2 linked regions of the Diceros bicornis minor genome follow. The protein of the gene in region 1 purifies or fractionates together with the protein of each later gene. This does not show direct contact. Links are inferred from orthologs where the notes say so. Each region holds a gene or a part of one and is shown on either strand. Other genes may lie near its edges.

Region 1 (11,223 bases):
CTCCTCACCCTTCCCTCCACACCCGCCTTCACGCCTCGCCCCTCCTCACCCGCCCCTCCACACCCGCCTTCACACCTCGGCCCTCCTCACCCTTCCCTCCACACCCGCCTTCACGCCTCGGCCCTCCTCACCCGCCCCTCCACACCCGCCTTCACGCCTCGCCCCTCCTCACCCGCCCCTCCACACCCGGCTTCACGCCTCGGCCCTCCTCACCCTTCCCTCCACACCCGGCTTCACGCCTCGGCCCTCCTCACCCTTCCCTCCACACCCGCCTTCACGCCTCGCCCCTCCTCACCCGCCCCTCCACACCCGCCTTCACACCTCGGCCCTCCTCACCCTTCCCTCCACACCCGCCTTCACGCCTCGCCCCTCCTCACCCGCCCCTCCACACCCGCCTTCACACCTCGCCCCTCCTCACCCGCCCCTCCACACCTGCCTTCACACCTCGGCCCTCTTCACCCTTCCCTCCACACCCGCCTTCACACCTCGGCCCTCCTCACCCTTCCCTCCACACCCGCCTTCACACCTCGCTCCTCCTCACCCGCCCCTCCACACCCGCCTTCACACTCGCCCCTCCTCACCCGCCCTCCACACCCGCCTTCACACCTCGGCCCTCTTCACCCTTCCCTCCACACCCGCCTTCACACCTCGCCCCTCCACTCCTCGCCCCTCCTCACCCCTCCATGCCCCACCCCTTCATGCCGGGCCCCATCCAAGTGTCCCGCCTCCTGCCCCCGCCCTGGCGTTGTGGAATGCAGCATCTGCTGCCATGATGATGCCAGGCCGTGTTGACTTCGCTCGTCTCCCTAGTGTTGCAGGTGTTTCGCTTTTATTCCATGTGGAGCGGCTACGGAGACTTGTTACAGTGCTCGTTTTATTTAATGCAAGTACAAGCGATCAGTTGGTTTATGAGTTTCCAAGTCTGTGGCCTTAAAAAATAAAACAGGAAAAGGGTTGGATAAGATTAATTTGAATTTCCCTGGAAGTGATTTTTAGTATTTATAACTTGTGTATTTGAATTATTTGAAATGATTTATTTGAATTCGTGGGTACAAAAGCACAAGTTCAGGTTTCCACTGACGCTGACTTCACCAATAGCGGGGAGCAGACCCTGACTGAGCACAAACAAGTGAAGCACGACATCCACGGACAGACCAGGCGCTTCATTAGGAACCCATCATTTTACAGACAGAGGAGGCCAGGGAGACGAAATTACTTGCAGTACACTGATCTCCAGAGTGTCAGAGCTGAAACTCTGGTCCTGAGCCCGGGCGTGCTCCTTCTGCTGCACACAGGTCCCACGGATCCAGCAAACTGTGATCTTATCCGAAGAATTACACTGAATGTAGAATTTTGATTCTCAGTTCTGCTTAGAGTTAAAATATCAGTATTTGTTGGTTTATGAGACATATTTTTCCATTTAGAACTGTTAGCATTAAATATTTACTCGGTAATCACAGCTCACTGTAGGCAAAGGGATCTAAACGTGACCATGCTGTATAGGTAGGTGGGGCAGCACTGTCAGATCACCTAACTACTGTGGGTTTCATCTACACTGATGATGAACAGATTTGAGGCAGGGCAGCCTTTTCAAAGGGCGGTGGACAAAGCTTTGTATTTTTAAATGTAGTGGAGACAAGGAAACTACAAATGTCCGGGGTCATTTTTGGTGGTTTGTTTTTTCTGGGTTAGGATTCTACACAGCCACAGCAGCCAGTAGAGCACATGCTTTATGACTGAGAATTGACTTTCCTAAATGATTATTACCAAGAGTCCCAGGGACCAGCCAGCTAACACATATGCCTAATATAGCAGAAATAATGATGGGGGCCATTAAAAACAGCCCTTGGAAAGAGATTTTCAATTTTTCATTCACAAAGCAAATCAAGCTTCCTAATTAGCTACAACGCGCTGGAAAGCTCGGCTCCTACTAGCCTGCAAGCCCTTGCTCTCTGCTTCCTTTAGTGACCTTCATCTCTGTTACAGGAACAGCTTGGCTGCTTTCTTTAGTTCACTGGTGTTCAAAGAACTCGTGGCAGGCAGTGGTAACCATGGCGACGAAGGCCATAAATTCCTGGAAGTCACATTCACCATCTCCATCGTTGTCCAATGTTTCCATGACTTTGTCGACAACCTCCTGCTCTTTGATTTCCTGAGAGATAAGAGAAATTGCCCAGCTTATTTTTAAAGGAAATTTAAGGACATCAAAACATGATTAAAAGTTGGCTGGCTTTCATAATTTGTATCAGAAACAATCCAAGATGTACAATACAAAATGCCAGAAAAGATTTCTCCTGTGACCAGGGACTGTTGGCCAGGCAGAACCCTCTGGGGGTCTGGGCTATTTAAAAAGACTGTATGGAACAACCAAGACCTGAAAAACTGCAGGTTGTTATCACTGTACTTTAAACAAAACACCTGGAAAAGAAGACTACAGTCTAGATCCGCATGGGCATATTATATGAAAATGTCTTGAAAGAAAAAATGAACTTTTGGCCCCCCTAAGGTTTTCATTGTTTCTGTGTGTGGAAGTTCCTATAGTGAAGGCTTCCAGTGGATTTTCATGTTTTGAAAGTGTTTTTTGGCTGAAATAACTCTTGGGAACATGTCCTAAATTTGTTAACTCCTTGTGTTCTTTTTGCCTGTTGAGTTACCTTATAGGGCATGGAACTTTTCCTGACAGTTCTCTTGTCCAACAGTGAAGCCAAGAGAATGGTGTCACAAAGGCTCAGAGGAGCAAACACAGTGCAGGGCTACAAATGTGGTGGAAAGAATGTGGCACTGAACACTGAAGAAGAGCATAAATGCGGATTGCTCAGAATAACTAATCCCTAGGGCAGGAGATCTTGGCCCAAAGAAGTCAAGTAAAATGTACAATTGCTGCCTTGAGTATAAAACATATGAAAGATTGAGATTCCAGTGGGGGTTGCGCTGGGCCCTATAAACATCTGCTGAACGGTGGTTGGGAGCAGTGCATTAATTTCAATACATTATAGATTTGCCTCCAAACCGAAATTACCTTGATAAAATGAGGCCAACAAATGTTCATGATATCTTGATACACTGACCATGAATTCTTTCTCTTTTATAAATTGTGGTTCCCACATGCTAAGCTTTTTTTATGTTTTAAAGTCAATAGTTAATAATAGTAGCTACTACTTGTTATGCTTTCACTATATGTTAAGCATTTAACAAACACTGTCTTGTTTCATCCTTACAACAATCCTTTTTACAGAAGAAACTGGAACTTTTTTTTTGATGAGGAAGATTCTCCCTGAGCTAACATCTGTGCCAATCTTCCTCTGTTTTGTATATGGGACAACGCCACAGCATGGTTTGATGAGTGGTGTGTAGGTCCACGACTGGGATCCAGGCCCTCGAACCCCAGGCCGCCAAAGTGGAGTGTGCAAACTTAACCACTATGCCACCAGGCCGGCCCCAGAAACTGGAACTTTTTGGTTGTTAAGTGGAAGGCAGAATTGTTGGGACTAGATAACTGAATGTGTGAGTGGGGCAGCTGCCACTCTGAACTTGGATGCCTGAGAAAACCAGTCCCAGAATCAAACTAGAGGACACCAACCCCTTTCAAGCCTCCAGGCTGCTTCCTCTGCTCTGGCAGTGCCATTGACAGCAACGGAGTGTTTGGGTGGGAGTAGGGACAGGAGAACCCCAGCCAGCCTTGCAGACGACGGGTGCTGCCTTGCTGCTGGAACCTGGGGCTTGTCCTGTGCAGAGAGGCTCGGCTAGGTCAGGAGGGCGGCTCCCCATCACTGTGCAGCAGGGCCCTGCCTGGTGCTCTGGTATCTTCCCCAGAAGTAGCTCTTGGTCAGACACTAGTGCACTGGTTCATTGTCTGGCCATTTCCCCTGTGTGTGATTGGTCCCTTCAATGACCTTGGTTCTGGGCACTAAGGGAAGGTCAGGTGCCAGGTGGACTGCAGTTCTTTGCCTCAAAGGCACAAGACTGGTATGCAGTAGGGATGCTGGGTGGCTGATCTGAGGGCAGTGGAGACGGTGGGTAGGGAAGTGAGTCCTCCATGAGGTGTCTGGACGTACTCCCACCACAGGCCAGAGCAGGAACTGCCTGGAGAGTGACAGGGCTCATCGGGGGCCCTCATGCAGCTTCCTAAGTTAGGGTCTCAAACTGAAGACGACTCTTCTCCAACGTCCTCACTCCAGGGAGCCCCCTGCAAGGCCTCAGGGCCCCCAAAGGATGCAGGGGCCTCTCTCGTGCCCTCAGGCAAGTAGGTTGTGGCCCTTCACTGATGTGCCTGGCTGGGTGCCCCAGAAGCAGAGGCCGTGGCTTCAGGCCTGTGTCTCTCCCAGTATTGAACATAGTGAGTGCTCAGTAAACTTTGGCTGAGTGAATGGCATCTTCTATCAGCATGGTGCATGCTAAACATCTAGCCAAAATGGTCCTTTTCCCAAAAACAAAAGCTTATTTATAACAACTTGCTTATATGTTCACTATGGCCCTTGATAAGTCATGAAAATATATTTTCCATCCCATTCTGCCATCATTATTGCTGTAAATCCTCAGATTTCTTTTTTCAGAGAAAAGTCAGCATTATTTGGAACTTTTGAGACAGCAGTTTTTCCTTGATGCTTCTACTATACACAAAACAGATGAAAATGAAAACAGTGGGGCCCATCTAAGCTAGTCTCCATAATGAGGGTTCAGTTGTGAAAACAACTTTTCAGAAGAAACCTAGTAGTCCTGAAATGGAACTGGAATCACCTCAGGGCAGCTCAGAAGAGAAAGTGTACAGGTGGTTTTATAAGTGGAGAGGAGAATGGCTAGACTGTTGATTTTAAAAAGCAAGGCTCACCTCTAAAAAATGGGAAAGCTCATTGTTGATGAGCTCCTTGAGTTCAGATTTCTTCAGCTTGTGCTTGTCGCCCTCCCTTCCGGAATATTGATGGAAAACATCAATGAGGGCCACCATGGCCTTCTCCAGCTCAGACATCCTAGGGGGCCACAAAGGAAAAATGTCTTCTCATGCTTCTGCCTTGTTTGTATATAGAACAGTTAAAGTGTTATCTAAACAGACCTCAACCCAGAGGAGGGGGCTAGACCGGCCTTGGCTCATCTTCTTTCAGGCTTAGAGAAGGGCACTCTGGGAGCTTGCACAGTTGTCACAATTCTCCCGTCTGCCTCTTAGACCCACTCTCCCACCCTCTCCTCTCTTCTCTGTCCCTGTGGGCCCCACTGATAAGTTCCCATGCCCTCTGGCTTCCAGTTGGGTTTGGCCAATGGGAAACTTCAGGAAAAATACAGAGGCAGAACAGTGAGGGAGTTCAGGGCTAGAGTCCTCCTTCTTCCCCAGTTGGCGACCTTCTGCCCTTGCAGGGCTCCAAGACGAGTGACAGAGCGTGGTTGAGCAAAGCGTCGACTGCAAGCCGTTAGAATTAATGAGAAAGAAGGTGACTAGGAGCCAAACGAGAATACAAAAATCAATAGTGTTCCTGTATTCTATCAGTAAACAACTAGAAAACATAGTAGAAAAATCCTATTCATATAGCAACACACATATCACTTAAGAATAAGTTTAGCAAGAAAAGTGCAGGTCCTTCAAAAAGATTCTAAGGATCATAAAATGTAGGAACTTGCTTTCCTTTGAATTAATACATAAATTTAGCTCATTTTTAATAAAAATATTTATGGGATTTTTTTTGATGGGTGAGGAACATGACCACAAAGCAGCTGTAAAATTCAGCTGGAAAAATAAATACAGCAGAATTGCCACACATGTTTTTGAAAAAGAAGATCAATGAAAGGTACCTTGACCTACTGGAAACAAAAATGTGTCATCAGGTGATGGGATCAAGCTGGTTCTGGGGCAGACTAGGCAAACGCGGCAGGAAGATGAGCCACAGGCGGGTGTTTAGCATTCACGCAAGAGCTGCCTCTGGTGCGCAAGGGGAGTGTCGCCTGTTCACTGATGTGGCCGCACAAATGCTGGAATAAGTGTTTCTTTGCAGTTGCCAACGTAAGAAACTTCCTACTTCCCTCACAGCATGTATCTTATACCACAGCCTGCAAACTGAGGAAATATCTGTTTAATCCTGGGAATTAGGCACATCTTAGACAGGATGGCTTGTCAGTTATCTCTTAAAACTGAGATACTCAGCCAGAGAAATTTACCAACTTTTGGCCTTGAGTTCTAATCATTAAAGAATCTTTGCACTGCCGTAGTTAAAAATAATAAAAAAAATTACATCTGATTGTTGAAAAATCATTCCCATGTTGAATATGTCACATCTTAAAAATAAACTGGAATAAAATATTTAAAATTTTACTTATTTCTGATTTCCTAAGGGAAAAAGGATTGAGAATGTTTGTCTTGGCCTGATCGTTGCTAAATTTACTCTATTAGTAATCAGTATTGCTCTCAAGTCCCTAAAAATCAGATGTATCACTTGTAGATACAACAATTCAGATGGATTAAAATCTTTAATAGGTCATACCTTCTTATCCTTTGCACTCAAGTTTTCAATTATTGATTTTTTTGTTTTTAAGTAACAAAACAAAAAACCCGAGAAACTTTTGTATCATCCTGATGCTTCTCAAAGTCTGTGATGATTTGGGGAAGGGGAGGTTAAACTAATTTTTCATGAAGAATGCCTACTGGGATTTTTTTAAAGGCAAGGCATAAAACATATAGTCTATATGTTCGAAAACTCCATAAAATGTGATTTTCTTCATAACCACACTACAAGTTAATTAGGAAAATTTTTTCCTATTAGATTCTCCCTTTTGAGAAACAATTGATGGTTTAAAGCTTATCTTTTAAGAAAAATATAAATCAAATATCCATGTTTCCTTTTCACTTCATTCTGTGAATATTCTGCATTAATCTTTTTATATGAAAAACAAGAGAACTTTTGGGCTTTAACTCCTTAGAGGGACACATCACACATGATGTGAGGGTCCCCTCTAAGGAAAGGGTCCTACTTCCCTGAGAAATTGTAAGACTAAGGAAAGTTAAACTCACCATAAACCCCAATTTCTTTGACCCATTTTGTAATTTACTTTTAAATAGTAAATTTACTTGTAAATTTACCTGTACAGTTGTCATGTAATTTCTGAGCGGTGTCCAGGGGGACCCTGACATTTCCCATTGAGGGAAACTGGAAAACCGAGAAGCAGGTATATACCAAGGGCTGGGGCAGAAGCCACGAGAAGAGAAAACATTGCTTTATGTTGCTTTATGAGATAGGGCTAAACTAGCGTCAGGTTGCCCGTCATTCTCAGCCCCTGGGAGAAGCAAAAACCCTGCTCTTCAAGGGGCAAAGATTGCAAAATATTTCTAAGAAGCACTATTTGTAGTACTTCTGGAGAAATGTCAGCAGTCACCTCTGAGCCACCAGACCTGAGGTTTCTCCGATTTATAGGAATAAAAACATAGGCAAATGAATCTCTAGCTACCTAGAGTTGAGGTGATCATGCCCACAAAACAGTAATAAGATCCACACTTTTGAAACGCTGCCATTTACCCTAAGGGGACTTTTTAAACTACTGCCCCATTCCCAACCCCACCCTCTTGATCCCCTGCCCCCAAAAGAAAAGAATAGGTTTTCCTGAGTGTCCTCACGTCAGTGGCTGTTGGTTGCTGCTCCTCGTCACCTCTGGCTGCAGAGTCTGGAGTGGCAAGAGTGATGGGCAGAGGCAGCCTCTTATTCCTTGCTCCCTGGGCGGTTGGGGCGTAGGCCGGTGCAGTCCCACTGCAGGCCGAGGCAGCCAATGGAGGCCGAGGGTGGGGGTGGGGGCGGCTGGGGCGGCCAGGCCTGCACACAGGGCTGCATTGACCAACTGCCACGGCCACCCAGGGACTCGCTGGAGAGCCGGGACTGCACATGGGGCAGGAAGTGGGGAGTCAGCTTTTTGTGCCATTTTTAAATTTATACACGAATATTGATGTTCCTCTAAAGGCAAGGTTGGAGGTGGGGAGAGGAGAGAGACGGATTAATTGATTCAGACAAAGCAAATGTGCGGCCAAGAACATGAAGCTTCCAAGTACAGGATGAACGCAGAGGATTAAACTCTGAATACAGAGTTTCCAATGGAGAAGCCCTGAGCTTCTCTCCCCTGGTCTGGCCCCCACCCTCGGACGGGTCGCCCTGCGGACATCAGTACTCTGAGCTAAGCAGGGTTGCCTTGAGAAGCCGCTGACCCCAACATCTGCAGGAACTGAAATGTGTGGCAAAGTAGGAACTTGATGCTTTTAGGGAAAAATCCTTATTTAATATGATTGAGGCACGTGCCAGGTGCACCCCAAGGCCTCCTTCACCCCAGGGTGAACAGTCACAGACTGTCAGACCTAGACAGTGCCCCAGACATGTCCTGTCCAAATGCTGTGTGTTATAGACAGGTACAGGCGGTGAGCCCCTCTCTGAGGCCCCACAACCAGCCACAGGAAAGCCAAGTACAGACTTCCCACCCCCCGTCTTCAGTGGTACCCTACCCAAGCTATTTCCAAGCAGAAACTCAAATGGTAGGCATTCCTCTAGACTCATTATACAAAAAGCATTTGCCCCAAACTCATCAAAGGACGTCTAAACCAGAATCAGGGCCCTTGTGCTGACTCAGGTCACAGTGGCCACGGAACGATCAAAACACAAAGATGTCTGTGGATACAGTTGTTTTGTCGTCATCTGTTTTACCAGGAAATTCATGACTGTTCAACACCCAGAAATGTCCCCTGGAAATAGCATGGGGCTGTGAGCCTCGGGGCTTGAGTCGTCCTCACCTGGACCCCGAGCCTGTCCCCACACCCCCGTGAGTGGGACCTGAGCGATGTGGTTTGGCTGTATTTCCTCAGCTGCCCCAAGGCTGTGGTCTCGTGAAGGGTCAGACACCTGCTTGCTCTGTGAAGTGCAGAACTTCCCACATCTGAGGAAGGAGCAACCGTGTGCTGGGTGCCCAGGCACTGTGTCTGAGGGAGCGCTGCTCCTGCGCACCCTAACCACTCCCCTGCGCGGCAACCTGGGCTCTGGGTTTGCCCTTCAGGGTTCACAAAAAAGCTTCAGCCTGCTCACGCAGTTTGGAATCCACTCATCTGACCACTGGATGCCTGAGCATGGGGCCTGCCATCTGGACACAAACCTCACAGCCTCCTGGGACAGCCAAGAGTGGTGTCCTGTGCCCACCCTGTTCCAGCTTCTGTGGGAGCAGGCGGGAGAGGACGTTCTTCAGAGAAGTGAGAGAGTGGTGTCAGGGCTCACAGGCTGCGAGAGAAACAGCCCATCTGGAGGAGAGGGGCTTTCACGTGCTGTGGGGCCCCCAGGGTGGCATCCTCCCCCACTCCCCAGGAGCTCACAGACACAAGTTCTTCATGTAACTTTAGAAGAACATGGGAAAGACATCTGTGACCTCACCAAGTTTCCACAGACTCACAACTCGAGGCTGAGTTTCAGCGCCATCACTTGACAAAAGTGTGACTTGGGACAAATTAGAACTGTTCTGCGAGGGGGGTGATCAGAGCCCTCACCTCACAGGGTTGTCTGGGGCCAGAAGTCCTTCCTTGACCTTCACACTTCCAGAGGACCCTGCTTCCCTTTCCTGACACCCTAGTTTTGAGTCTCATCTCATTAGACTAGAACCCCTGGTCTAGTCATGTGTGACTTGCACATTCACTGCCTCCCCTCAACTGTTTTCCACAGGAGGGCCCTGTACTAAAGCACCTAGAAATACGTTATTGAGTGGGACACCCGTGAAGCTCTTTGCTTGTGGTCTGCCTATGACCATATGGGATGCCGTCATTGAAATAGTCTCCCCTGTTTCAGTGGGGATGGTGGGATTTCAGAGTAGCAGAGCTGAATGACCTCACTCAACCATCAGATAGGGTGGGTGTGTCTGCTGTAAAGGGGAGAGGGACAGACCAGTAATCAGAATGCCTTGGTCCCCAGAGCTCTTTGGCAGTGGCTTACTGATCACAGTGTCCCTAGCAATGAGACAGATGGACGGCCTACTTGAGTAGTCCTTAACCCACACAACAGGAAAACTCTAGGTCTGGTAGCCAAAGCCTGACTTGAATCACCACAGTGGAGAATCACAGCCTCTCTCCAAGTTGCCAGACCGAAGTCGGGTTGGACCAGAGCCTCTTGGTTGAAGGAGAGGCAGGTCCCCTTGAGAGAGACCCTGCACTACTGCCAGTGTACGTGTGTGAGTGTTCTCCACACCTTCCCCACCTGCACTGCAGACACTTACTAATGCGACCGTGTAGTAGGGAGAAGGAAATACCCAGATCTCTTCAGGGATTATTAGATAGGCTCTGCATTGATGCTCTGCATTGATGCTAATTCCTGGGGCCACAAAATGGACCTGTGGCCCACTGGTCAAAGTAGGGATTTCAGGTGACAGTCTTAACTCTACCAACTCACAGTGGGCCCAGGTCATGCACAGATTTTCTCTGCAGGTATTTCTTCAGCTCCTGAATGTATAATCAAAACAGACATACTTGGTCACTAGCAGAATCCCCTTGCTGGCTCTCTTACATAACGAGGTGAGGCTCATTATGATAGGAAAAGCTAGGTGAACATCCCTAGAAATTTTCTTCTTATCATGACAGTGATAAGTAAACCAGAAGCAATACTGTAGCTCTTGGGAGAATTTCAGAGATCAATGCCACCATCAAAGAGCTGACATAAGCAGGGGTGGTGATACTTATCACAAGCCCATTTAACTTGCCAATTTGGCCCGTGCAGAAGTCCGGTGGATTGTGGAGAATGACTGTGGACTGTCATAGATATATCAGCTGGTGACTTAAATTGCAGTGGCTGTGCCGGATGAGGTATCGCCACTGGAGAAAATCAACATAGCCCCTGGCACTTGGTACACAGCTACTGATCTGACTAATACCGTTTTCTCCAAACCAATTTTCAAAGACCACCAGAAGCACTTTTTTACCTGGCAGGGCCAAAGGCATACCCTCATAGTGTCCCCTCAGGCACATGTCAGGTCTCCTGCTCCTCGCCATAATATTCTCTGCAGACGTCTTGATCATCTGGGCAGTCCACAGAGCAGCACATTGGTCACTCTACTGATGACAGTGTGCTGATTGGGTGTGATGAGAAGGAAGTGGCAAGTACTACAGATGCCTTAGTCAGCCACATGCAAACTAGCGAGTGGGAGATAAGCTCCACAATTTTGAGGCCCACCACCACAGTGAGGTTTCCGGGAGTTCAGTGGTCTGGAACATGTTGAAATGTCCCCTTCAAGTGA
Region 2 (11,227 bases), on another chromosome or scaffold:
TCTCTCTGATCTTTCTTCCTGGCCTTGGAATGGGTGTAAATTCCAGACCTTGGGGCTCCTCCAACTTGGGAGGGGTGGAGGTTATAAAGGAAACAGGATGGGACCAATCCAAAGAGGCAAATTGGGCTTGTACTAGAGGGGAAAGAGGGGCCCCAGCAGCATACAAAGTACAGTCCAGCTCACCAGAGTAGGAGACACAACTGGGAGCTGAAGCCCCAGCGAACATGGCAGAGCATGGGATTTGTCTGTGGTGTACCTCAAACACTTTTTAGGGGTGGCAGCAGCCACATTAGGTGACCCGTAGGAATCCCAGTCTTCTTTTCTCAGCATGACATTCCTAGGCTTCTTTTCCTAGCTCTCTCTAGCTGTAAAACTTAAATAGGTGCTTCCAAAGTTGATATTCTAATCAAAGCTTTAAACAAAAAAAATCACCACATTCAGTTTATATGATTGCCTCCATGAAGTAAACAGGGCACATTTCCACAATGCAGGCCAATGGGCAGAGTGTACCAGGGCAATATGCCACTATTATGCCCTCTCTTATAACCCAAAGCATAAAAAATAAAGATGATCACAACTGTCTTGCTGCCTTAGTCGCTTCCCTAAGTATGTAAAAGCACCCAACAAAAACACCCCAGGGGATCATGGCCCCCTGGATGGGTTCTAAAGAAAATGGGATACTTTTCTATTCTGGAAAAAACACCTGACAGGGCCGGCCCCATGACTTAGCGGTTAAGTGCATGCTACTGGCGGCCCGGGTTCGGGGCCCGGGTTCGGAGCCCAGGCATGCACCGACGCACTGCTTCTCTGGCCATGCTGGGGCCACGTCCCACATACAGCAACTAGAAGGATGTGCAGCTATGACATGCAACTATCTACTGGGGCTTTGGGGAGAAAAAGGAGGAGGATTGGCAATAGATGTTAGCTCAGGGCCGGTCTTCCTCAGCAAAAAGAGGAGGATTAGCATGGATGTTAGCTCAGGGCTGATCTTCCTCACAAAGAAAAAGAAAAAGAAAAAAGAAAAAAAAAAAAAAACATCTGACAGAAAAGAATATGCTCTGGAGCAGATGGAAATGAAGAGCCTTGCTAGTGCAGCACTGGAAGAAGGAAATGTGATGAAGAGCACCACTCTGTTCAGGCTCGAATAACCCAGCATAAGGCAGGGTTCTAAAAATGCTTTAAATCTTGTTTCTCCCCTTGGGCAGGGGGGCCGGTGGGCGGGTGGCTGTGTGTGTGTGTGGCATCACAACCACTGGAAGCATTTAAAATATACAGGTATCTGGACCTTCCAGCCCTGATCTACCGAACCAGAATCTCGGTGGTAAGGCCCAGATATCGGTATTTTTCTTAAAGTTTCCCCAGGTGATTCTAATGCACACATCTGGTTAAGAACTGCTGAATAAAATGATGAAAATATTCTTCAATTAAAAAAACTACAAGTAAACTATGAGAACTCAGGCCTCAGTTTCCTCACTGAAATGAGACAGTTGAATCAGATCAGTGGCAGCAAGGGGGTGTTAGCCAAGACATCCTCTGCAAAAAGGGAATTTTACTATGGAAACTCAATATTAAAACAAAAGCAGAACTGCATTAGATGGGGGAAGGAAGGCAAGTTGGGCCTCTTCCCTCTCATCCCTAGGTCACCTCAACAGGGACATCAAGGCTTCACAGAGCACAGGACAGTCTCTCATACCAGCTGCAGCTTTCAAATTCTATGACCTTCCAAAACTAGATCTAATCCACAATGCAAGTATCAGAGGACTTAGTATTTTTATACACGGGAGCCTTACAAACTTTGTATGAGAAACATCCCCTTTTCTAATAACATATTCACCTCCTGCTGTCTAACCTTCCATTTACAAAAACAAGTGTTATTATCATTCTCCCCACCTAAATCATCACTAATCCCAGTCCCCCTTCCCCAGTCTAATGGAAGGGCTTTAAGCTCAGAAAAGAAGCCTGGAATCAAGAAGACACACCAAATGCATGTTAGTGGTAGGCCCAAGGATGGGAAGGAGGAGACTGGGACCAGAGAGAGGCACAAAAAGGACTCCATGTCTTTTAAGAGGAAAGGGAAAGATCTGAAGGGCTAACAGTTGTTAGTTCTGGAATACATGGATGTTTGTTGTTTTGTTCTCTGGACTTTCCTGTAGCGTTTTAAGATCTTCAGAATTACCAAAACACTCTTGTTTATTAGCACCATTTGAAACATCCTTGATTTTCAGTAGACTTTGATCACCAATACCCTTGATTAGCCCTTGCTGGCCTTTTCCACCAAAGCTCACTTATAGGATAAATGATCTGTAATTACATCTATCTACCCTGGGACCTTGCAAAGGAACACAAGCACCAGAACAAAAGAAATGAACCACTGATAGCAAATTGACACTCTAACAATAAGACCACAAGGTCTGGGAGTATCAGAAAACAGCAGCTGTACATTCACTTCACAAAGAATGCAGAGGATGCTGCCTTTGGTAAACCGTCTTTTAACATTGCCAAATAGAGGACCTATACCCAGAGCATTACCCAGGGGAGAATGGACCCAATTCATATAAATCAAAACCAGTGAGAAACCAGTGAAACATAAAGGCCAAGAATTTCAAACACTAAAAACGCTATTTCTTCCCTACAACTGGCAGTGCCCAAAACACGCATCATAAGCATGAAACTGAACAACACAAATCTGGAAATTTTTCAGTATATGTAAGTGCCCATCAATGTTTCACGATAAACTGCTATCAAGGCTACTTGCTCCCATGAATAAATACCCTAACTATACTTATTCCTTCAAACTACCAGCCTCCCACAGTCACACCTACAACACATTCAAAGAGATCTTTATCTGTGTTCACACCATATCAGCTCCCTTCTCCCAGTCTTCTCTCCAGCCAGCCAATCTTTACCTCTTTGCTTCTTCCAAATGACAAAGGTACTCATAAGCCACATTCTGACGTCTCCTTTCATCCATCTCCTCTGCCGTGAGTCTCTCATTATCCAGGACAGCTAAAACATGAAAGAAAGAATGTAAACATAAGAATCTGTAACCTTCCCAAGCGATAAAAGAATGCCACAGCATCAAATTCCTGCTAGTCACCTAGAGACTCAGGGTAACCTGTGGATGTGTGGGTAGCCAGGTGTACAACAATGACTGTCCTAAAACAGGAATTACGGGGTTTCAACTATACTCATCTTACCCTTTTTTAAAAAGTATGGTAATATGAACATGTACTAAAATTCAGTGTAACTTGAAAAATACTGACTTGAGATTTTGGCCCAAATTTGTCCTCGTCTATCTGCCAGACTAGCTCTAAGTACAGAGCTGATCATGGTATCTCCCTCTTTTATTAACAACCAAAGCCAGCAGTCATTAAGAACTAAGTGGCAGTAATAAGGCTAAGCAGTTTACATGCATTCTCTCATTGAAGCCTCACTAGCCTGTAACTGTCACTCTCATTTTATAGATGAGAAAACTGAGGCTGGGTGATCTTAGCCCCACAGCTAATAAATGATGGGGCCTGGATCCAAACCCAGGCAGTGTCTCAAAAGCCTGTGAGCTTAACCTCTGCAATCAACCTCCTTCATGAGCACCAACGTATGGAATAAATTCCTAACTCCTTGGGATGGCATTCAAGGCCTTTCCCAATTTAGCGCCAACTATTTTTGGAAACTCTCCTCCCTCTCCCTGTTCTTCCTCCCACCACTGTGCACTCCACACCACTCAGTTCCTGTCACACACAGCACCCTTCCACTCTTCAACGCCTTAGAAGAGTTTATACTCTTCTCTCTTCGTCATGTCTCCTGGCCCACCCTGCCCTGTCAAACTTTACACAGCATCCTTGAAGACAGGCTCCGTCAGAACGTCACTCCCTGTGTTCCTCCTGCCTTCCCCACGCTCCTCCCCCCACTCAGGGTACTGTTTATGCCTAGTTAGTTCACTGCATCTTTTATCTTCACTACACCTTATTAGCATTAGGTTGTACGCCTGTTTGTCTCTCTAATGAAAACGTTCTTTGAAGGCAGGGCCTAGTCTTACTCATGTTTAATTTCACAAACGTGACACAAGACCTCACAGATAACTGTTGAGTGCAATTATCCTAAAAACAGAACATTAGTCCCAGAACATAAAACTGAAAACCTCAAGACTCCAAAGGACTCGCCTTTGGTAACTATGCCGCCTGATCCAATGATGTCCTAGGGACAGCAACAGAAAATGAGGAAGTCAGAGGTGGGTTTTTTTTTTTTTTTTTGAAATCCTGACGAGGGAACTAAGCCCACGAAAGCTGAAGTGACTTGACCAGGGCCACACCTCTCGGCTAGCCTGGGGCCGGGCAGGTATGGACGCCGGGTCCACCTCGCAGGCAGCACCTTCCCACGAGGCCGAGCAGAGGCCCCGTCTCCGCTCCCCGGCCCCGGGACACGCCCTGCGGCGTCCGCCTGCCACCTCACCCAGGGCCGGCTCCCCAATCTCGGTCGAGCGGCAGGCGAGAGGCGCTGGGTGGGGCCCTCCAGCCCCCGCGCCCGGTCCTCCCCGCCGCCTCGGAGACCGGGGGCGCGGGCCCGGGGCCTCGCCGCCCGCCACCCCTCCAGCCCGCCGCCGCCCGCCGCCCGGCTCTTCCGGGTCCGCGCGGCCCGCAGCCGCCCTGCCCCACCCGGCTGGCCGACTCCCCGGGGAAAGGGCACCTCGGAGGCAGCGAGCCCGGCCCGAAACCCCCGCGCCGCGGAGCCCCGCACTTACAGCCATAGTGCGGCCGGGCCACGCCCAGCCCGTCAACCTCGTCCGCGGCGGACATGGCGGCCGAGCCCGGGTCTGCTGAGGAAGAGGTGAGACCTCGGAGGCGCGGGCGACGGCGGCGGCAGCTGCTGCAGAGTGCGCGGGCTGCCCTGCTCCCGGAGGCCCCGCCCCGCGCCACCGCCCCACCCGCAGGCCCCACCCCAGCGGCCCCACCCTGCCGCGCTGACGGGAGCGGGCGGAAGGGGGCGGGGCAGAGCCGCCCGGCCCCGCCCTGCGCGCGCACGGTCCCGGGAGGTGGAAGGAAGGAGGCGGAGCCCGGCTGCCAATCGAGGTGCGACGAGCTCCGCTTGGTGGGGAAGGTCCGCCCCTGCCCTGGAGCCTTTGCGTCCCCGGCCGCCGCCCCGGCCGCGCCTCGGACAAAAAGGCCAACGGTGTCGGTTGCTTGAAATAGAAAACGTGGGCCTTCCCCTTCCACTGCCTGCCCATATAAATTCCTCTGCGCCAAAGAGCTCAAGGAAGGCGTCTGTTGAAGTGCCCTAGCGTGTTCTTGCTGGACACAAGCAGGACACAAACTGCCATAAGGGACCTCACAGTCTGGCAGTCTGGCTTCAGTCCTCTCCTAGATTCGCCAGCAGTCGCCAGATTTGGACTCCTCCACCCCCCAAGTATTTGAGAAGTGGGTGCTAAAGCAGGAGAACAGTGTTTGTCCAAACTTCCTTGCCTTGGATTTCCTGCCACTGTTAAGTTCTTCTTTTTAGGGGATTCCTTGCCCCTTTTAGGGATGCCTCTTCCTCTTGCACTTTGTGGCCTGCCCCTAAAATGTTGGTATTCAGCAGAATTCGGTCAGTCCTCTTCTTTGCCCACTCTTGGTAACTTGATCTGTGCTCACCTTGAACTGCTGAAGAGCCCTAAATATATATAGCTCCAGACCAGACCCTCTAGAAGCCCTAACTCAATATTTTCAGCTGTGTAATGGACATTTTCACCTCTGAATCCCGCAGACACTTCAAATTTAACGTGTCGAAACTGCCCCTGCTCCTGCTATATTCTCTACTAACAGAAGTGCTCAGTTCGCAGCCGGGACACGCCAGTCTCCTTGCCTCGTGCCCTAAATCCAATCGGTATTGCTTCTGAAGTGTCTTGCTTTTGTCTCTATCTCCACTGTGATTACACAGTTCAGATTGTCGTTATCTCTATTCTCCGTTCTGCCAACTAGCTCCTCACAGTCAACAGCATGTTCTTTCTAAGGTGCAAACGCAGTTGTGTTATTCCTTTTTATATTTTTTCCTATTACTCCCTTCGGGTTATGGTCCAAGTTCCTTAGCATGCCAAATAAGCCCCTTCACAACCTGACTCCAGGCTTTTTGCTCTAGCTGTTTTCAATTTATCCACTCTTCCTTCAAAGTACTAAAGTGAGTTGCTTAAAAACATAAGAACAAAACACCCCCATTAAAAAATGGGCAAAGGTTTAATTTACAACAAATTCAAAAGTTAGTTCTTTCTTAAGCTTTTAAGTTCAGCTTACAAATTTTATTCTAGTTATGTCTAGCATATTTTACCACTTTTCAGAAACTTTGAATAATTTTTGGTCCCATTCACAAACTTAGTTAATCCAACATCTTCAAACATTTAAAATTATGTCCATAAAAATATCTTAGATTTTCTTTTTAATTTCTTCAGTTATCTAATCTAGAACCTTTCAGAGTTTAGTAATCCTTATAAATCAAGTAAACGTACAAATATAATGAATCCAAAGTTTTCTTAGCCCAGTTCCAAGTGTAAACTTAGTAAGATTTCAACTCAAAATCTTAAGTCTAAAACTAACTCAATTATACATTTAAAATGAATTATAAGGCTGTCACTCTAATAAGCCAAAATTTCTTAAAGATTGCAAGTTCATGAAATGTGAAATATGCACATATTTCTTCTTAACACCAACATATTAATCCCACAGTTTTTACCCCATTAAGCCTTTCTGTATTTAATTCTAAAGCTTCTCTGAGTTGAAAGACACAGAGCTGCTAAGAAAGCCAGTTTCCAACCTAGTTAACTAAGATTACTTTCGATCAGACATTTCTACCAGACATAAGTCCTGGAGGCACAGACTTTTAGAGCCATTCTTCTCACTGCGTCAACTGTCATTTTGAGCCCCTTTTTATATTATGTCATGGTCTTCAAAACTCGTTACCTCATCCTCTAACTACTCTGAGAAATCTGCAAGTCCTACACAGTTTATCTTTTGATTTTATTTTATATTTCTTGGCTTTTAAGATATGTACATTGTGTTTTTATTTTAATTCTAAAGACCTGTGTAAATGGATGGAATCCAAACATGTAAATGTATTTTCTCTCTAACGATAAAGATTATGAACCTGTTGGCCTCTTGCATTTTTTCTTATTCCTAGGACCATACAATTCTAACAGGTATTTTTTTTTATAATTTTTTTAATTTATTTATTTTTCCCCCAAAGCCCCAGTAGATAGTTGTACGTCATAGTTGCACATCCTTCCAGTTGCTGTATGTGGGACTCGGCCTCAGCATGGCCATGGCCGGAGAAGCGGTGCGTCGCTGCGCGCCCGGAGCGCGAGCACTTAACTGCTAAGCCACGGGGCCGGCCCTCTAACAGGTATTTAAATCAATATCCTATTGAGTTTCAGATAGCTCACATTGCTTTATCTGATGGTCACAAATTAATTCATACTTCATAACTATAATAACTGAAATGTACTGAGGCGTTACTGGACTGTTTTGTATTTATTTTCTCATCTGAGCCTCATAATAATCCTACAGAGTAAGAACTGTTATTATCTCCAATTTACAGATGAGAAAATGGAGAACTAACTCAACTGAGGTCACACAGCAAGAGGCAGAGCTGGAACTCAAACCCAGGTTTGTCTAGTGACAAAGCCTACGTGCCTGGTCAATAAACACAAGATTCAGAGAAATGAACATTAAGATCATAACTGGCCACTTACCACTTCTTGCCTATCAGAGTAGCAATGTTTTGTTTTAATTGATATTATTGGCAAAGGGTTGAAAAAGCAACCACTCTCATGCACTGCTGGTTGGGCTGTAAATTGATACAATCTTTCTGAAGTCCAACTTAGCATTTATGTAGCAATCTTTCAAAGAATTCCACTTCTTTAAAAGAATATATCATAACAAAATTATTATTATTTTTTGTGTGTGTGAGGAAGATTGGCCCTGAGCTAACATCTGCCAATCCTCCTCTTTTTGCTGAGGAAGACTGACCTGGGCTAACATCCATGCCCATCTTCCTCTACTTTATATGGGACACCGCCACAGCATGGCCTGACAAGTGGTGCCTTGGTGTGCGCCTGGGATCTGAACCGGCGAACCCCGGGCAGCCGCAGCGGAGCGTGCACACTTAACCGCTTGCGCCACCCGGCCAGCCCCCAAAATTATTTTTTAATGTGCAAAAATTAGTGATGAAGATGCACATTGGAAATGTCTTAAAAGCCCACCACTAGGTTTTTAAATCAGTGATGGCACCTCCACACAATGGAACGCTATACAGTCATAATAGTGATGATTTGTGGTTCTGGTCAGGCTTGCCTGGCTACAAGGAATGGAGACCCACTTGTTTTACCTCTAGAGGAAAAAAGCCTGGAAGGGAGGTATTTCTAATAAAGATATATATGGATTGGAACTAGAGCAAGAAAAAACAGGACTAACGGAAGCTTGAAGGCAGGGCTCTGTCCCTCTGGGTATATCTGCTTCTCCACAGGTCTGCTCTTACCCTCCTCTCTTCGGCAACCAGCTTCATCAATTCTAATATTTTCTGCTCCGTCACAACTCTGGCTTCTATTTGGCTTGCCATGGCCTTGGGCCATGACATCCTTACACCATCAGCTCCTTTGAGGATAATCTCAGTTGCCCAATTCCCGTAACCCAGTGGCATATGATTGGCCCAGCTCATCTCTTCACCCCATGTGTATGTTTCTGAATGCCCACAAGTGGGCTGCCCTTGGATCAGATGCCAATCCTTTAGTTCAATTAGCTGTGGTCAGGAAATACAGCCAATTAAGGATAGAAAACTGTGAGCTGGGCATTATTTCCTTCAATGGGAGGCTGGGTAGGCAAACAATGATCAATATTCCTAATATGATGGTTAAGTGGAAAAAAAAGCAAATTATGAACTAATAAACATATTATGATACCATTTTTGCTTTAAAAACATATAGATAGATATAGATGTGCATATGAATAGAAAAAAGCCTTGAAGCCTATACACCAATACATTAACAGTGGTTTCTCCAGTGGTGGAATTACAGTGGATTTGTGTGGGATTTGTTTGTTTATTTGCTTCTTTGCATTTACCAAGTTTTTTACAATGAGCTACTAGAAATACTATTTTGTCAGTAGGTATAAGTATGAATAATGTTAGTAAATATGAAATGAATAAATAAATAAAAGTTAAACGACATAATAATGAGCTAAATGATCATTTTGGGAGATAGAATTGGTTCATGACCGTGGAATATACAGACTCAGGGGAGTGGAGCAATATTGACAGGATAGCTTCAGATAAGAACCATAATAGAGGTTTCTTTTGGCGTGAAATACATTTTAGCCTCTTATTTCCTTGAGAAAAACCTAGTCAACTTCCCAGACCCAACACAAATGTCATCTCCTCTCCCAGGCAAAATTAATCACTTCCTCATTTATTTCCAAGTAGCACTTTAGAAACCATGTCTTCAAAAAGAAGTCCCAAGTTTTTTCACATTTTAACTTCTGAAATCAGGATAGGTCTTACAATCAGTATTAAAAGAAACTAGCCGGGGCCGGCCCCGTGGCTTTGCAGTTAAGTGCGCGTGCTCCACTGCTGGCAGCCCGGGTTCGGATCCCGGGCGCGCACCGACACACTGCTTCTATGGCCATGCTGAGGCCGTGTCCCACATACAGCAACTAGAAGGACGTGCAACTACGACATACAACTATCTACTGGGGCTTTGGGGGGGAGGGGGGAAAGGAGGAGGATTGGCAATAGATGTTAGCTCAGAGCCGGTCTTCCTCAGCAAAAAGAGGAGGATTAGCATGGATGTTAGCTTAGGGCTGATCTTCCTCAAAAAAAAAAAAAGAAAAAGAAAAAAAGAAACTAGCCGTCTACCAGGTAGAGAAGTAATGGAAAAGTAACATAATTGTCATTGCTTGCAGATGTGTGAATTTAACTAATTTCTCAGAAAAGTTCAGAGAACTTTCAGAGCTAGAATTGATAACAGATTCACGCTTTAGGAATCGTTAGTGGATCCAAATAGAGTTAGACTCTTCATAAGAAGCTTGGCTCCCGCTTTGATTTAGAGAAGTTAGTAAGTAATTCCAGTGATAAATATATGCTATTGTCCATCAAGTTTTTTCAAATATATACATTTGATAGGATATTCTTAATGACCCCAAAAGATGTTGAAATATGATGGTACATCCCACAATCAAAGGTGTCTTCAATTCTAGGAAGTGTGTAACCTTATGTAACTCTATTATAACACTTAGCTCATTGAATTATAATTAGTTATTTACAGGTCCACTTTCCCAGACAGATCATTAACTCCACAAAGACAGAAATTTGGGTAAATAAACTCAGTGTGAATAGTTAACAAATGTAGCATTCTTACCGTTGGGATTTTAGTATTTGCTTTTTATGTAGTTTATATAGAAATTTTTCAGAAGGATGGATTCCCTAGGACAGATAGTAATATTTTGACTGATTTAGTCCCTTGCCTTGTATAAGAACATATAGGCTTTTGGATACCAACATCTTGTGAAAGAGGCTGGGAAATCTGAGGCTATAGCTTCTCAACATTCTTTAAGTGTTAAGGACCTCAAGGGATAGCTTTTCAGGGGATTGTAGCCATGCTGTGGTAGGCAGAATTTTAGGAGGGCTGCCCAAGATTCCCAATCCTTGGTTATTCAGTCAGACACTAATCTAGGTACTGTTTTGAAGGGATTTTGCGGATGTAATTAAGGTTACTAATCAATTTATCTTAAAATAGGGAGATTACTCTGGTAATCACAAGAGACTTTTAAAAGCAAACAGTTTTCTCCAGGTGGCAGAAGAAGTCAAAAAGACTCAAAGCAGGGGGAGGATTTGATGGGCCATTGCCATTTTAAAGATGGAAGGGGCCACATGGAAAGGGCCTGAGAGCAGCCTTGAGGAGCTGAGAGTGACCCCTGGCTAACAGCCATCAAGGAAATAGGGACCTCAGATCTACAACTGCAGGGAACTTGATTCCACCAGCAACCTGAATGATCTTGGAAGCAGATTCCTTCCCAGATCCTCAGGATAAGAGCTCAGCTTAGTGGACATTTTGACTTTTACCTTGTGAGACCTTGAGCAAAGAATCCAGTCAAGTTTGCCCAGTCTTCAATAGAAAACTAATGCATATGCCCTAGGACATTTGGGTGTATAGGGAGAGGAATGAGGTGATTCACAGGTAGTGTTGCCGAATATGCTGATGAAAAAATTTTGCCTA

What was found.
Region 2: the proteins of S100B (region 1) and IQGAP1 purify together in Homo sapiens (co-immunoprecipitation; 3 studies listed by BioGRID and IntAct, with this or other methods). This does not show direct contact. The link is inferred for Diceros bicornis minor from reciprocal best matches to the Homo sapiens genes S100B and IQGAP1.

The regions. Positions count from the first base shown.
Region 1 is NC_080766.1:45,976,212-45,987,434, forward strand, and holds S100B (protein S100-B), read right to left. Parts: upstream 4,967-11,223; coding exon 4,829-4,966; intron 2,153-4,828; coding exon 2,012-2,152; downstream 1-2,011. UniProt on the Homo sapiens protein: Small zinc- and- and calcium-binding protein that is highly expressed in astrocytes and constitutes one of the most abundant soluble proteins in brain.
Region 2 is NC_080744.1:94,454,701-94,465,927, forward strand, and holds the start of IQGAP1 (ras GTPase-activating-like protein IQGAP1), read right to left. Parts: upstream 4,852-11,227; 5' UTR 4,794-4,851; coding exon 4,739-4,793; intron 3,007-4,738; coding exon 2,907-3,006; intron 1-2,906. UniProt on the Homo sapiens protein: Plays a crucial role in regulating the dynamics and assembly of the actin cytoskeleton.